Linked DNA regions of Diceros bicornis minor. The protein of the gene in region 2 interacts with the protein of the main gene of each other region in a pairwise test. Links are inferred from orthologs where the notes say so. Each region holds a gene or a part of one and is shown on either strand. Other genes may lie near its edges.

Region 1 (4,996 bases), on a different chromosome or scaffold from region 2:
CCGCCATGCTCACCTGACAATCTTGAGGGAATTGTCATACTTCTCATGGTTCACACCCATCACAAACATGGGGGCATCAGCAGAAGGGGCAGAGATGATGACCCTTTTGGCTCCACCCTTCAAGTGAGCCTGCAGTAGAGGAGGCATTACAAACCCAGGTTCTATCTTTCCAGGTTGAAGCCAGCCCCCTGCCCCCTTTCTGCTACACCAAATCTCAGGGTCAACTCCCCCCTCTTTAGCCTCCCTGCCACTCACCCCAGCCTTCTCCATTGTAGTGAAGACACCAGTGGACTCCACAACGTATTCAGCACCAGCATCACCCCATTTGATGTTGGCGGGATCTCGCCTACAAAGGACGACAAGACAAAGCTCAGGGACATGAGGTACCACGTACCCAAGGTGGTCACCCCATTCTAGTACCTCCCCAAAGGCAGATTTCTTCTTCCTGTTTCGTCTTCCATACTTACTCCTGGAAGATGGTGATGGCCTTTCCATTGATGACAAGCTTCCCGTGCTCAGCCTTGACTGTGCCATGAAACTTGCCATGGGTGGAATCATACTGGAACATGTAGACCTGGAGGAACAAATGAAGGCATCAAAGGACTGTGCTTCAGCCAGGCTCTGCTCCCCATACCAGCTGCATGGGCGGCACTCACCATGTAGTTGAGGTCAATGAAGGGGTCATTGATGGCGACAATATCCACTTTGCCAGAGTTAAAAGCAGCCCTGGTGACCAGGCGCCCAATACGGCCAAATCTGAGGGAGACAAAAGGTGAGAAGGCATGAGGAGGAGGAAGTACAGACTTCTACCCTATCATGTATGTAAGCAGCCCTAGGCCAACTCATCCTCTTTCAGAGGGAAGATGGCCATCCCACCACCAGAGAGCTCCAAGAGGTCTAATTTTATCTTCCTCCAGGCACAGCTTAGTCATAAAGTGAAGGCTCCTATCCTTTCCAAGAGGTGATCAGGCTCACAGACTTGCCCACCCCCTAGCCATCTGAAGTCCTTCAAGGAGAAACAGCAGTGCAGGGTACGCTGCTGCCATCCAAAGTTGGGGCACATGCCTGGCACATGGCATTCATCACCCCAGCTATCTGCCCTGGGAAGGCTTGTTCCTGTCTGGCCCAACTTCAGGCTACACCCTCTCAGGAGCAAGACTGTGCACTCAGCATCACCAAGCTCAAAGGGCAAGAGTAAAGGTCGCAAGTTAACTGGATGAGGAAAGCCCACCCATCTTCCAAGTCCCTCCCACAAAAGGGAAGGAGACAGGGAAAACATGGTTTCTCAAGCCCCTAATCCCTGGGCTCTAATTTGCTAAACTACCCGTCCTTCCTAGCTCTTTTCCAAAAATCAGGAGCAGTAGCAACAGATGTGTGTGGGAGAGAAGGAGGTGGAAGAGAGCAGACTGGTCAGGCCCCCAGCTGCAGAAAGGTCAGGCAGCTATATTTAACCTCAGATTAGGGTGGAGTGGGGATCTGGTTTCTGGAAGATGGAATAGGGAGAAGGGCAGGATTCCCAAGGCTCACAGACACCTAATCCTCCCAGTGACCTTTACGGCCTGGCCTTTGGGGTTGGGTCAGCTCTAGGCATGGATGAAAGAAAGGCGCTTCAGGGAGAGGCCGATGAAGAAAGGGGCTGCTGCTGCAGGAGCCATTTTGTGGTGGAAAATTTCTAACTCCCCATGACTCAGCTCCCCCAACATGGCACTAAGCCACCGCTGCCACAGCTCCCCCCCCCAAAAAAACATGCAAGAGGATCCCCATAAATCCCCGTTTTTGATCCATCAGAGAATCATCTAAGAAAAGCATTATCCCTGAGGGCAAATTCAGCTGGTTGTTTAAGGGATGGTCCAGGGTTAATATGGTCCCAGTTCTGAGGTCCAGCTCTTTTGAAAGCAAGAGCGAGGAAAGCCTTGCCTCACCTACTTTACCGGATAAAGGCGACTCCACCCCATAGAGGCAGGAGTTGGAGGGTTAGTCACAGGCAAGGGAGGAGGAGGAAGACTGAAGAGCTAAGGCAGGTTTCCTAACGGTGGTTCATTCATTTCCTTCCCAGTTGCAACATGGCGGCTGGGTTACCGCAAATGAACCCTCCCACGCTGTGCCTTCTGCATCCCCCTGCTGGGCCTGGGCCTGGCTAGGTGAGGGGAAGGAGGCTGGTGGGGGGAGAGGCTCCTCTCCAGCACATGACCTCGCAGGGCGCGAAAGGAAAAAAGAAGCCCCAGCTAGGAGATTAAGGGGATGGGTCCAAAGCAAGAACTGGGGACTCGTCTGCCCATGGTCGGTGGAGTGGAAGACTCCGGGCAAGCTGTCCCTGCAGGAGTGGAGTTACAGCAAGCGCAACAGCTGGGGGCGGGAGACACGAGGCCCTTTGAGGCGGGAGCCTCTGCCAGGTCTGAGCGCTGACCTTGAGTTCTCCTCGGTGGGGTCGCTCGACCATCCCACCCACCTTCCCCACCCGCTCGCAGAGATCCGGGTAGGGCAAACTGCTGGGGGCCGCAGAACTCAATGCCCCACACCCAGCCCATTCCCGAACTCACCCGTTTACTCCGACCTTCACCATCGTGTCCCGGGGACGCGGCTGCGGGAAGAGGAAGGCGAGCATTAGCACGCGGGGGCGGGAAGCGCTGGAGTCCGGCCGTCGCCCTCCCCGCCGCTCCCCTCCCCCATGCGTCCATTCCCAACCCGCGTTTCCGCACGTCCGGCCCCTGCAATGCGGAGGCCCGGCCGCGCACACCCCGACCCCGCACCGCGCAGCCGAGCTCCTGGCCTGCGCAAGCCCCGCGCCCCTTTCGGAACAGTTCCTGAGCCCTTGGTGGCCCCGCTTTGCCTGTTTTTACCTAGCACTGCGCAAGAAACACGGCTATCCGTGGACCGGGCAGGAACAGAGAGCACAGTCGCACACTGCTGTCCCAATTTATAGAGGCGAGGGAGGGGGGCCGGGGCGTGGCGACGCGGCCCCGCCTCCTGCCGGCCCCCAAGTGCCGGCACTGGGGCGCAGAGGCCTGAGCTACGTGCGCCCGTAAAACCGCGAGTAGCCGGGCCTGCCTTTTTTTTTTTTTTTTGAACCCGCCGGCTCTTCAGATGTGCCCGCACCACGCGTGTGGGCTAGGGACAGAGAGGGGGAGGGGACTGAGACTGGCCCAATGGGGGAGGTGATCGGTGATGGTGCCTAGGACGGGACTGTGGCATGAGGAGACTGTGGACTCGAGGACAGTGGTCCTGGTGAGAACTGAGGATATCCAGGAGCCAGGGAAGTTAAAGTTGCTGCACGGATGAAACGGGAAGATTTTGGGAGCTGGTGGGATGAGGAATTGGAGCCGGAGCCCGGGTCACGTTGGCGGCTGCACACTGCCACCCCCTCCCCCTTCTTTCCAAGGCTGAGGCACTTCTCCTCGAGGCTCTTCGGTAGTGACATAGGAACAGCCAAGTAGAAGGCCGGGGAGGGGCCAATCCGCCTTCTGCGGGGCCCTTCCCAGCCCCCACTTCCTCCTCCCCATCTCCTGGCTCCAGGCCTCTCTGGGCCGGGGGCCTGGGCTGGGCACTGGGCAGTGGGGCCTGGAGAGGAAGGAGGCTCAGGAAGATGTTTGCGGGGGGGAGGGTTTCTGCGCTGAAGGTCACGCTGTCCTGCAGCTCGGGCAGCCTGGAGACCTGATAATTGGGGCAGACAAACCAGGCCCTGTGTGCACCAGATGCTCTCCCCCAGGCCAGGGCCCCAGCGGGAGGACGGATCACTCTTGGGGGCTGGGTGGTGCCTCCCACAAAGTGTCTCCTGGGAAACCCGCGTGCCGCGCCGCCCAGGCTTGGAGACAATGCCCCTTTCACCCCTCCAGCCCAAGGCAGAGAGCGGGACGTGAGGGCGGAAGTCCCTCCCCACTCTGGGACGTGCGGCCCAGCCCTGGAGCCAGGGACTCCCCTTCACTGGCTGCGCCCGCCCGGGGCTGTTGGGGGCAGGGTGAGGAGTCCAGAGTAGGGAAAAAATGGGAGGTCTTGGGTACATGGTGGGAACAGGTCCCCAGCCCCTTCCCACACGTGAGGTAGAGGAGAGGATCCATTCCCCTCCGCGAGGGGTCAGGATGCCTGGCTGTGCCAAGTTTGTGAGCTGAGGTTGGAGAAAGGACTGCTTCTGAGCACGTGAAAGGAGTGAGGGTTTAGAAGGGGGTGGGATGGAATGGACGTTGCCTATCAGCAGGTGCTGGGGGACAGGGATCCTGGGGCCTCTTTGCTGGCCCAGCGTAACCTGAGACCAGCCCCCTTTTCTAACTGACAGGCTAAGTTTAGCCCGCCTGGTGATAACCTTTGCTTAAGAGGCAGAGAGGACGCTGTCGCACACCCAGACTCCAGCCCCAGTCCTTTCCCTTTCTGGGATTGCCCTCCCTCCTTGGGGCCCCAGAGCCACGGCTGTGCCTGTGCCTGTGCCTGGCAGCCATCTGCATGATTGGTGCCCAGGCTTTTCATGAACAGCAAGAACGGGGCCAGAGGGCACCTAACGGTGAGAGGAGATGGGAAGCGCCACACTGCAGAGTCTGCTGAAGTGGACTCAGCTGCTCCTGTTCCATTCCTGCTCAGGCTCCACCAGGACCATTAACCCTTTCCTGACAAGGGCCTTAGGAGCCCCTCCATGTTCCTGCACCACCCAAAGCAAGTGTCTGAGGTACTGTCTTCCCCTTCGCCTCATGCTTGTCATTTTTGATTATTGTTCTCTGCCAAAAAGAGGGAGCTCAGTGCCCAGGAGCACTACTGACGCAGTCTGCTGTTGTCATGACAGCAAAGACACCAGTGTTGTCATGACAGCAGGCTCCCTGCCTCCTGCTCCAGGTGACTCAGCAGAGAAGACGTGGGGAGGTGGAGGGGGTGGACAGCTTCAGGTGGCAGCACAGAGCAGTGCCTGCACCTGGGGGGGCCCGACTTCCTGCAGACCCTGGAACATGGGGAGGAGTCCCTGGGAGACACAGTCTCCAGAGACATTGTCTAGAGCTGGAGGGGATCATGCCCT
Region 2 (4,996 bases):
TTATGACACTTAGCACACTGGCACCTAAGTGGCTGTTGGCATGTCTTTTCCCCACGGACTGTGAGATCCCAGAGAGCAGAGATTCTGTTGAATTCCTGGTTGTCTCTGTACCTCCCAGCACCTGCCCTATAGCAGGAACTCAATAAAAATGGGGAGAACTGCTCTGCTGGCCAGGCCAGTTAGTGTTTTCCTGAGCAGGAAGAAGCTGCCCATTTGATTTCCCCAGTGCCCGGTGCCCCTCAGCCCCTACCTTGTTCTTACGTCCATCGATCTCAAAGAAGGAGATGGTGCCCTTGCGGTAGATCTCGTTGCCTGGAGGATGTCGCAGGTCACACTTGGTCTGAGAAAGAGAGGGGGATCAGGGGTGGAGGGAGGGTGGGGGGTGCTAGGAGGGCAGCCTTGTAGGACGCCTCATACCAAGTGACGCTGCAAACACTTGAGGCTCCGGCCGTATTTGAGACAGAACTCGCAAAGGTAGAGGACAGGCAGCGTGGTGAGCTCCTGCGGATACGGGGAGAAGTACCACGGCTTGAGGCGGTGCCGGCCCAGCTCAATACACTCAATGTTCTTCATCCGGGTGACGATGTCGTCGTGGCTTCGGTCAGACACCAAGCTCCCGGTCATGCGCGGAGCCGACGGTATTCCATCTGAGCTGTCCTGGGAGTCCTGTCCAGGGCCAGTGGAAGATACTAGATTACAGGAGACAACTCAAGCAGGACACTTTACAGCTCACACAGCCCTCCCAGCGGTTTCCTTATTCAAGCCTAACAGCAACCCTATGGCAGAGGTAGTACAGTCCCCTTTCCAGATAAACAAACTAAGACTTGGGAAGTTTTCATTCAAAACTTGGAAAAGATCACCCAATGCCTGATCTGAACGAGCTCTGGCTGGTTCTTTTTTTTTTGCTGAGCAAAATTTGCCCTGAGCTAACATCTGTGCCAATCTTCCTCTATTTTGTATGTGAGTCACTGCCACAGCATGGCCACCAACGAGTGGTGTAGGTCCACACTCCAGAACCAAACCCGGGCCGCTGAAGCGGAGCATACTGAACTTAACCACTAGGCCACTGGGCTAGCCCCATCTGCCTGGTTCTTATTCCCACCAATACCGTAGTTGCCCACCACCCCTTGTTTATTTTTAAACTAGTCACTAAACACTCCACCCTGCCTGTGTCCTCCACTTTTCACACAGCTTCTCTCTTCCCCAGACCCACCTCATCAGTGCCCAAGCAATTCGATTTGCGCTTCCGTCCAGGCTGAGCTGCCACTGCCCTACGGGCTGATCCATTCTGCAGGCAAGATGGTAAGAAGAGAAAGAGTGGCTGTGAGATGAGCCTGAAAGGGGCCACCAGAGGGCAGAAGAAAGGCAGGGGAGAAGAGATGGTTTGGGGGACTCACCTGGGGAAACACTGAGGTCGGGGCTGTCTCGCTGGGCACTGGAGTTGCTGGTGAAACCACCTCCACCTTCCGTTTCTGTAGAGAGAAACCAAGAAAGGTGGGTCAGAAGGTAGAGAAGGTGGGACCTGAGAGGAAAGCAAGGTCCCTGGAATTGCTGAGGGTACCGTTGAGCGGTGGTTGGGCTGCAGGCAGGAGCTGGAGGAGAGCGGCTGGTCGGGCTCGCCACCGGGAATGGCCTCCCGCTCCTTGGGCAGGTTGAAGCGGAGTGTGATCTGGACCGGGATTGGCAAGGTCTTCCCGCTGGCCTGGGCGGAGGCCGGCTGTAGAGATAGGTCCAGGGTCTTCCTCTGGGGTGGGGTTGGCGGTGGGATGGAAAAGGGAGTAGGGGCCCCTCAGCGTGAAATGATTAAACCCCACCCTCTGCCCTCTCAAGGACATAGGAAGAGCCACTGGACTCGAAGCTACATCTGTAATTTGGCCCCTGTCCTTTGCCAGCTGAAGCCAGGGTGGGAGAGCACTGCCTCCTGCCCATCCAGGAGCCACTGAGGCCAAGAGATGAGAGAAGTAGGAGGCAGAAGAGAAGAGGTGAAGCAGGGGACCTACTCACCACCTCTCTCTCTGGAGAGCCGGGGCGGGACCCAGGAAGTCCGTTCTTGGTGGGGGTCTTGGCCTCCTTCTTGGGGAACTGGATCTTCTTTAGGTCCAGCCGCTCGTGGGTCACCCATTCATCCAGGCGTTTGTTGACTGCAGCAGTGGGGATGGCTCAGGAGGGAATGCCAGAAGCTGCCCCCCAACCCTACCCTGCAGCCCCGCCTCACTGCAGCCCAGAACTCACAGTCAATGTAATGGACGTAGAAAAGCTTCCGGCCACTGATGTCCTTCACGCTCAGGATCTCGGCCAGGGCTGTGGGAACAGCACAGACGGCGGCCTTAGACAGGCCTGGCCATAATGCTCCACCCTCCTACGACCTGAACTCCACCCCCAGGCCGAATCTCTAAGCCCCAGCACTTGGAAGCTCTCGCCCAAGCCCCCGTTAGTCACCAAGTGCCGCCCTCTCTCCAAGCCCCGCCCTGTCCATCCCGGAGCTAAAAGGCACGCCCCTCCTGAGTATCTGCGCCCCGCCCGCCCCAGGATTCTAGAGGCCCCTCCCCCTCCCGAGGGTTCGGTTGACTCTCTCCCGCCCCTCGCCCTTAGGTTCCTTAGCCCCGCCCACCCGACGTCACTCACGCCACTCATCTTCGTTGTCCTGGTTCCGCCGCAGCACGGGCAGGCGACAGCCCTCGATTATCTCCCCCTGGGGAGACAGCGCGGCGCCAGGGTCGGCTACTGGGGGGCCTCGGGCTCTACCCACCTCCCCTGGCTCCCTCCGCCCCGCCCCGGGCACCGGACTCACCACCTCCGCCATCTTCCCTCCCTCCACTGCCACTTCCGGCCCCTCTGGGAGACGTCACTTCCGGGACTGAGCGCGCTGTAGGCCTCGGCCTCCCAAAGACGCTTTGGAAGAGGACCCTTGGGAGACACCGCCGCCCAGGTGGAAGCAGGGAGCCGGTCTGCCTGGGTGGCGGGAGAATGGGGTGTTTTAAGTCTCGGGCCGGGTCTTGGGTGGAATCCCCATAACGTGCATAGCGATTGGAGGAAAGCTGAGTCCGTCACGTGACGCCCACCAAGTGCGACGCCGGTCACGTCGCTGCGGGTCACGTGCGACTAGTGTTTGTGCTTTGGGGGCGGCCGAGCTCGGGCGTCTCCTAGTGGCACTGGGAGGTCTCGCCGGGAGTGAACTGCGCGTGCTCGGCGGGGGGCGGGTCTGGAGGGTTTGGGAGGCTGGGGAGGTGGGCGGGACTGGGAAGGGACCTCAGTACCTGGCCAAGTTTATGGACTTCATTTCTTAGGGATGGAGACTCACGGAAGATTTCTAGGTTTGCTGTTTTGTATATTGGGTTTCTAATTTTAAAAGTAGTGTGACGTCATTCATAACGTTCAACAAATGTTTAATGGTCCCCTACCATGTGCCAGGCGCTATTCTAGGAGCCTGGAACACATCAGTGAATAAAGAAGCCTGCTGTCATGGAGCTTACATTCTTGGGGGTTGGAGGAAAAAGAGGGATATAGATAATAAACAATAAATATATTAAAAAGTAAATTATTTAGTTTATTAAAGAGTGATAAGTGTTATGGGAAACAAAAAAAAAAATGCGGAAATTAAGGGAGATGGGTAGGTAGATGGCAATTTTGAGTAGGGTGCTCAGGGCAGACCTGGATGGAAGTGTGTTAGTTGAGCAAAGGTTTAGAGAGGTGAAGGGATGAACTGTGCAGTTACCTGCGGGGAAATTGTTCCAGAAAAACAGACCACAGTAAGGGGAGAAAAGTATAACCTCAGATCATCAGGGGACGTGTCCACAGGGAATATTTTGGTTGAGTGTCTCTTAGACTAGGGGTGGGCAAACTATGGCCTGCAGGCAGAATCCAACCCTCTGCTGGTTTTCCTGCAGTCAATGGGCTAATAATGGTTTTTATGATTTTTAACGGTTGGGGAAAAATCAAAAGAATATTTTGTGACACCTGAAGATTATGAAATTCAAATTTCTACGTCCATAAATAAAGTTTTATTGGAGCTACCCCCTCATTTACATTTTGTCTATGAGTCCTTTCATATTAAAACAATAATCGTGCAGGAGATATGGCCCACAAAGCCTAAAATATTTACTGTCTGGTCCTTTACAGGAAATGTTTGCCAACCCTTGCTTTATAGACTGTTGTGCTGTCTGTTTAATAAAACAGAAGCTCTTACTGTGTGTACTGTTCTGTGACCAGCTTGTTCACTTAGCAACATAAATTGAACACTCGTCACTAAATATTCTATAGCACTGTTTTAATGGCTACATAATGTTTATTGTTTAGATGCACCCTGGCTGCCATTACCAATTTCCTGTTGTCGAATATTCGTTATTTCCAATTTTCTCCTCCTACAAACAGTGCCATAAAGAGCATCCTTAGGGCCGGCCCCATGGCTTAGCGGTTATGTGTGTGCACTCCACTGCTGGCGGCCCGGGTTCGGATCCCGGGTTCGCACCGACGCATGGCTTCTCCGGCCATGCTGAGACCGCGTCCCACATACAGCAACTAGAAAAATGTGCAACTATGACATACAACTATCTACTGGGGCTTTGGGGGAAAAAAATAAATAAAAAATTATAAAAAGCATCCTTATATACACAACTTTCCACATATTCATCCCAGCATGGTTTGCGTTGAAGATCTAAGTGGGGAATGACTATATCTGCATTTTAGAAAGATCACCCTCGTGTCAGTGTCCTTGGATTGAAGGAGATAAGACCAGAACAGGACCAATCGGAAGGCTGTTGAGATCGGCCATTCACTGATAACAGTCAGTACATGTTCATGCAGGGCCTGCTATGTATGGCAGTTAGCAAAGTTTCAGTCCCCGCCCCCTTGTCAAAGTCACCAGTGACCTGCACATTGTTAATCAAATGCCACTTCTCAGCCCTCTTATCAGTGGCATTTGGCATGGTTGGTCACTCCCTCTTCCTTGAAACACACTTTTCCTGGCTTCCAGGATACTGGCCCCTCCTTACAGTTT
Region 3 (4,996 bases), on a different chromosome or scaffold from region 2:
GTTCTGATAAACAAACACAGAATTTGCTGTCCACCTTCTTAGGAACACATCAAATTGAAAGATCAGGCACTGCTCTCTCGAGCACACAGAGCGACTCAAGCACCCTCCAGACAGCTCCCTCACAGGGTCTGGGAATCCCAGTATTCCTAGTGTAAGTCACAGGACTCCAAAAACCTCTACAGTATCTGAGGACACCACAGAGTCAACACTTCAGATTTTTTCAAAGCAGCACACTACAATTCCATATACCGTGCTGTGAATCTCAAAATAAGCATTTCAAATATTCACACTAAAAAACACAGAATGCAGGTTTCAGAAGCTTTTCTGCATTTAGTTCACTGATACGGAAAAAAGCCTTACGAGGGTCAGCTTACTTTTATTTCAGAGCTGTTTCAGCTCTTCAGAAGCTTAAAATAGCATTACAGGAACTACTGAGTGTTGCCATATAAACATCCTGCTATTTCCTACTTTCACTAAGTCTTACACAAAATAATTTTTAGTGTCTAATAGGCATCATGGAAATGCCTAGTGCTCTCAACTTACTGATTGCTCTTAAGTTTCCTGAGACTTTTATGAGCTAATTTTCATGCTGAGCATGTATTTTTAAAAATTGCCATCTTCAGATCAACATAATGTATTGCCAGTTGCGGAATCTGATCAGAAATCAGCATTCTTGAACCAGTGTTGCCTACTAAATTAGCAATTCTGGGAACCCCAACTGTCCTTACAGGCACTCTAACATTCGCTTAGCTAAGAATGATAATCATACGGGAATAATTTTTGGCTAACTTAATGAATAACAAAATAAGCAAGCATAAATGAACTAAGAATAGGCAAAAATAAAGCTTGAAGCAATCAGAGCCACTGTCCTTACTTAGCCTTCGTGAAATGTGACACTGGTGAATAGCTTAAAATTACTGATTTTAACCTATTTAATTCCTGCCAGGTAGGGCTTTCTTCTTTTCCACTGTGCAACCCGCTTCAGTGCCTGCAGCCTACGGGCACAGAGGCCAGGCAATGGTTCAGGGCCAGTTTGCTCTGGCATGGGGCACTATGAGAGGCCCAGGGGGACGGGCCTGCCATAAATCCAAACCCATGCACGTTGAAACTTGTTTTAAGACTTGATTTAATGTGACTTTCTGGCACTGTCAACCTCCTACGTTGTCTAAATCACCCCTAGCGGAAGGCAAGAGACTAACGCCAGCAAACCCATTTTGACTATTTAAATAACATTTGAATAGGCTCAGGCGGTGACAGATTAGGTGGTTTAGGGTTTTGTTAAACGTCTTTAAGACAGTGTACAGGCTTAAACATGGTAAGTTTTTATTTCTTTCAAATATACCACTATTAAATATTTTGCTTTCCCATATCTTTTAAAAGCTTTAACAACCTGCAATATAGAGAAATTTCACCCAACAACACCTTTTGGTGTTCTCTATAGCTGTATAACTTAAAATGATGAATCGAATCAATCGATCAGCACAAAACAGCACTTTTCTGGTATGAAATTCTTTACTGCCAACTGGGTAATGTTAGAAGAGATCGGGATTAATTTAAATAGAAACTGAAAAAATTTCACAACTAAATTATGCCCAATTTTAGGTGTGAATAAAATCAACACATTCTTTGTCCTCCCTAGACACTTCTAAAACGTTCTGCTCCCCACACTTTCATCAATCATTTAGGATTCTCAAACAACACAATTAGCCTTTTTTGAAACCCTTGGGGCTGGCTCCTACTTGTAAGTCCGTTCGCCTGAACTGGGATCTTAATATTCTAGGCTTTTCTAAAACCACTAAGTCATTCAAAGATTCCTTAAATAGACAATTTTAAGTCACGGCTGGCCGAGTATTTATTATCATAGCTACTACAAGGCTATCTTAGCTCTAAAAATTCCGGCGGGTTTCTATATCGGGTCATTTGCTCTGTACATAGAGCAAAACTAAAAACTAAAACAAAACAAAACAGAAAAAGAAACTCTAGGGCAACAAGGCAGAATGATACGTCTCATCCTTATAAAACCGAGATGAGCGATGGGAACCCCGGGACCTGCACGGGCCTGCTTCTTCATTCCTCTCCTGCACCTGCTACCGCGCTTGCCACATGGCTAAAAAAGAATAGCGGTTGCAGGGACGACCGGGCCTTCCCGACAGCTTCCGGCTCCGAAGCCCTCCCGGCGTGCTTCGGAGGAGGGCAAACGCGGCCCCTGCGGCCGGGCTGCCCCGAGCCGGGGCAGGCAGGGGCAGGCCGGGCCCCGCTTCTCGGGGGAACCGGGGCCGGAAGGCAGCGGCTCTCCAAGCTTAGGGTCGGCGGCCGGCTCTGCGACCACGTGTCCCTCGCGGCTCCGGGTCTGTATCCGGCCCGGTCCCGTCCCGACGCGAGGGGACACGTGGCCGTTCCCCTGCAGCCCCCCAACCGCCGGGATGCCCCTCTTACCTAGAGCGCGCGGGCGCCGCGGGCCGGCCCCATGGAGACGCCGCGAGCGCGCAGGACCGTCGGCCGCCCCGCCGCCCCCGTCGGCCGCCTACCCGCCCGCCGCTCGCTCCCTCCCGCGGAGGACCGCCGGCCCGAGGTGGCGCCGGAGCGCTGGCAGACGGGCGGCGGCGGCGGAGGCTGAGCTGACTGACAAAGCCGCCGCGCCGCCGCGCCGCTACTTATAGCGCCGCGCGTGTCGTCATGGAGACGCACCAGCTCAAACCAGCCGCGATCGGTTCCGTCCGGGCGTCCTCCGAGGGGGGGCGGGGCGCGGCGGCGGCCAACCCGGGGTCGGACGCAGGGGCGGGGGGCGAGGGCGGCTCGACGTCAGCGCCTCCGAGCGCCGTGCCCCTCCCGGCCCGCGGCAGGTCCGCGCACGCGCACCACGCCGCAGCCCCGGGCCGTCTCGCGCCGCTCCCTGCCCGCGGCAGGCCAGCGCACGCGCACTACGCCGCAGACGCTGGGCCCCGCGGGCGATGCATCCGGCGCCGGCACCCGCCGCGCGCCGCCCGGCGCGCGCCCGCCCGCCTTCAGACTTGGGCCAAGAGCTGCCGCCGCAGAATTGCAAAACCCGCCGCTGACCGCCGCCGAATTTCAGCATCCGCGACACGCACAACTGTTCTTGCACTTGGCATTAAGTGCCTCGTGCCCTCGGGCAGAAAAAGGAAATCGCCGGCGCGAGCGGGCCACGTGGAGCCGGCCGGGCGGACTCTGGCCCCTTCTGCCCGGCGCCTGCATCCCTGTGGAAGGAACCTGGAAGTGATTCTGGCGCCACTCCACCAAGAAGGGGGCAGAGACATTGACTCTGGGGAAGGGGCGTGCGGAAGGGCACCTGGCAAGTTAGCGGCGCCAGTAAACCGTGTCTGACATTTCCAGCTAGATGGCAGACAGCAGTGGACCCGCGGAGATCCACGTTGAAAAACGTCCCGCTTTTCAAGCCAGAGACTCGTCTAAAGGCGTTAGGGGAAGGGGTGGGAGGTAAGGGGTCTCCACTGCCCTTTACCATATGGGATGGCGCTCATCAATGACTAGCATCTTTAAGGGCAACCGCAGTTGGCACGCTTTCAAAGTTATGTAAGTCCTACACACCAGCAGTGTCTACGCAATTGAATACATATGGTAAAAGTCGCCTAGGAATTTGGTTGTCCCTAAGAGAGCGCAGCCAAGGCCTCTGGTGGAGGACTGTGCCTCTCTGGGGGTGCGGGCCACCCCCAGCTGCCAGCCCCAGGGAGGGGCTGAAGGCATTGGGGGCAGAGTTTTTTCTTTTATTCTTACCATTCGTTCCCTTGAAGACAAAATCCAACAGTTACGTCCCACCCTATCATGTGGGTTGTGACCGACCTGAGGGCTGCCGGTAGGAGTTACAGAACGTGTGACATTAGCCCTGGCCACGCAGTGGGTGCAGGGGACGCTGGAGGAGCTCAGCGCTGTAGCCTGGCCCTGGCCCCAACTTGCTGCGTGATATTGGGTAAATTACCTCCCTTCTCTGGGCCTCAGAGGAGACTGGACTAGATGACCCGAGGAGTACAACACCCTGTGAGGTTTTGAAAAATCTTTGTACTGGCCCCCAGGCCTGGGGCATAGTCAGTGAATACTTGTCTAATGAATGCTGAATGAGTGAATGATCTGACTCTCCCTGGAGCGCGCCTGGCTGCGGCAGAGTCGAACAGGGAGAACAGCAGTGCATCTTCCTATGTGGAGGGACATGGTGGGCAGAGCTCGCTTTCCTCTTGAGCACCCTGATCCACATTGTATACGTCATCCTTGAGCCGCCCTTGGGTGCTAGAGAGGGGAGTTATCTCCATCCTGACAAACTCAATCCCTATGGAAGGATGAGATTAACAATCCCATCAGGGAGCATTATAGCCCCAGGCGCCAAATGGGACAGCTTTGATTCCATGGTGAGCACGGAGGTATTTGTCCCCCTCTGTGAAGGAACAGTTTGTTCCAATGACACACAGAGTTTTCCTTTTTCCTCACTCTCCGGAAGTCTCCCGTGTCCAGTGGCAAGGCCAAGAGAGGAGCACTGTCTGCACTGCCCGACTTTCGGTGGCACATCAATCAACTAGTCGTTGTGAGGTGAACACTGTCCCCGCTCTGCAGCCTCCTTCTGGCAGAGGGGACTGGATGTCTTAGCATGTGGGATTCTGGTAGCAGCCGGGCATGCAGGGAAGGACAGCCAGCCCCCATCCTGCCAGCAGCTTGCCGCTGTGTGACCTCAGCCGCCTCCCTGACTCTCTGTGAGCCTCTGTTTCTCCCACAATCAAAGGAAGGGTGTGGGCCAGATCTATACCTCAGTTCTGTGATTGTGTTTTAGATTTAGAAGTATTAGCTGAACATAGGGGCAAGTTCTTGATTCAGGAAGCCAGATGGTGTGTCCCTCTGCTGCACATGTGCCACTTACACCCCGGTCACCCACACACACTGCCTCTCCTGCTAGCCCACCCCAAGCACGCGAACTCCTGTGCACACACTTCACTTTCTTCTGGGGAGGCCAGGCCTTGCCCAGATGAGCCGCCTG

Evidence for each region.
Region 1: the proteins of KAT5 (region 2) and GAPDH interact in binary tests that used the Homo sapiens proteins (3 or more experiments, as listed by UniProt). The link is inferred for Diceros bicornis minor from reciprocal best matches to the Homo sapiens genes KAT5 and GAPDH.
Region 3: the proteins of KAT5 (region 2) and ODC1 interact in binary tests that used the Homo sapiens proteins (3 or more experiments, as listed by UniProt). The two-hybrid records come from large-scale screens. The link is inferred for Diceros bicornis minor from reciprocal best matches to the Homo sapiens genes KAT5 and ODC1.

The regions. Positions count from the first base shown.
Region 1 is NC_080756.1:55,149,021-55,154,016, forward strand, and holds the start of GAPDH (glyceraldehyde-3-phosphate dehydrogenase), read right to left. Parts: upstream 2,902-4,996; 5' UTR 2,841-2,901; intron 2,582-2,840; 5' UTR 2,564-2,581; coding exon 2,541-2,563; intron 757-2,540; coding exon 657-756; intron 575-656; coding exon 468-574; intron 347-467; coding exon 256-346; intron 130-255; coding exon 14-129; intron 1-13. UniProt on the Homo sapiens protein: Has both glyceraldehyde-3-phosphate dehydrogenase and nitrosylase activities, thereby playing a role in glycolysis and nuclear functions, respectively.
Region 2 is NC_080770.1:7,514,468-7,519,463, forward strand, and holds the start of KAT5 (histone acetyltransferase KAT5), read right to left. Parts: upstream 2,999-4,996; 5' UTR 2,804-2,998; coding exon 2,626-2,803; intron 2,302-2,625; coding exon 2,233-2,301; intron 2,142-2,232; coding exon 2,005-2,141; intron 1,745-2,004; coding exon of another isoform or gene 1,718-1,744; coding exon 1,562-1,717; intron 1,473-1,561; coding exon 1,398-1,472; intron 1,289-1,397; coding exon 1,214-1,288; intron 667-1,213; coding exon 418-666; intron 341-417; coding exon 251-340; intron 1-250. UniProt on the Homo sapiens protein: Catalytic subunit of the NuA4 histone acetyltransferase complex, a multiprotein complex involved in transcriptional activation of select genes principally by acetylation of nucleosomal histones H2A and H4.
Region 3 is NC_080751.1:69,739,560-69,744,555, reverse strand, and holds the start of ODC1 (ornithine decarboxylase), read right to left. Parts: upstream 2,571-4,996; 5' UTR 2,437-2,570; intron 1,100-2,436; exon of another isoform or gene 966-1,099; intron 4-965; 5' UTR 1-3. UniProt on the Homo sapiens protein: Catalyzes the first and rate-limiting step of polyamine biosynthesis that converts ornithine into putrescine, which is the precursor for the polyamines, spermidine and spermine.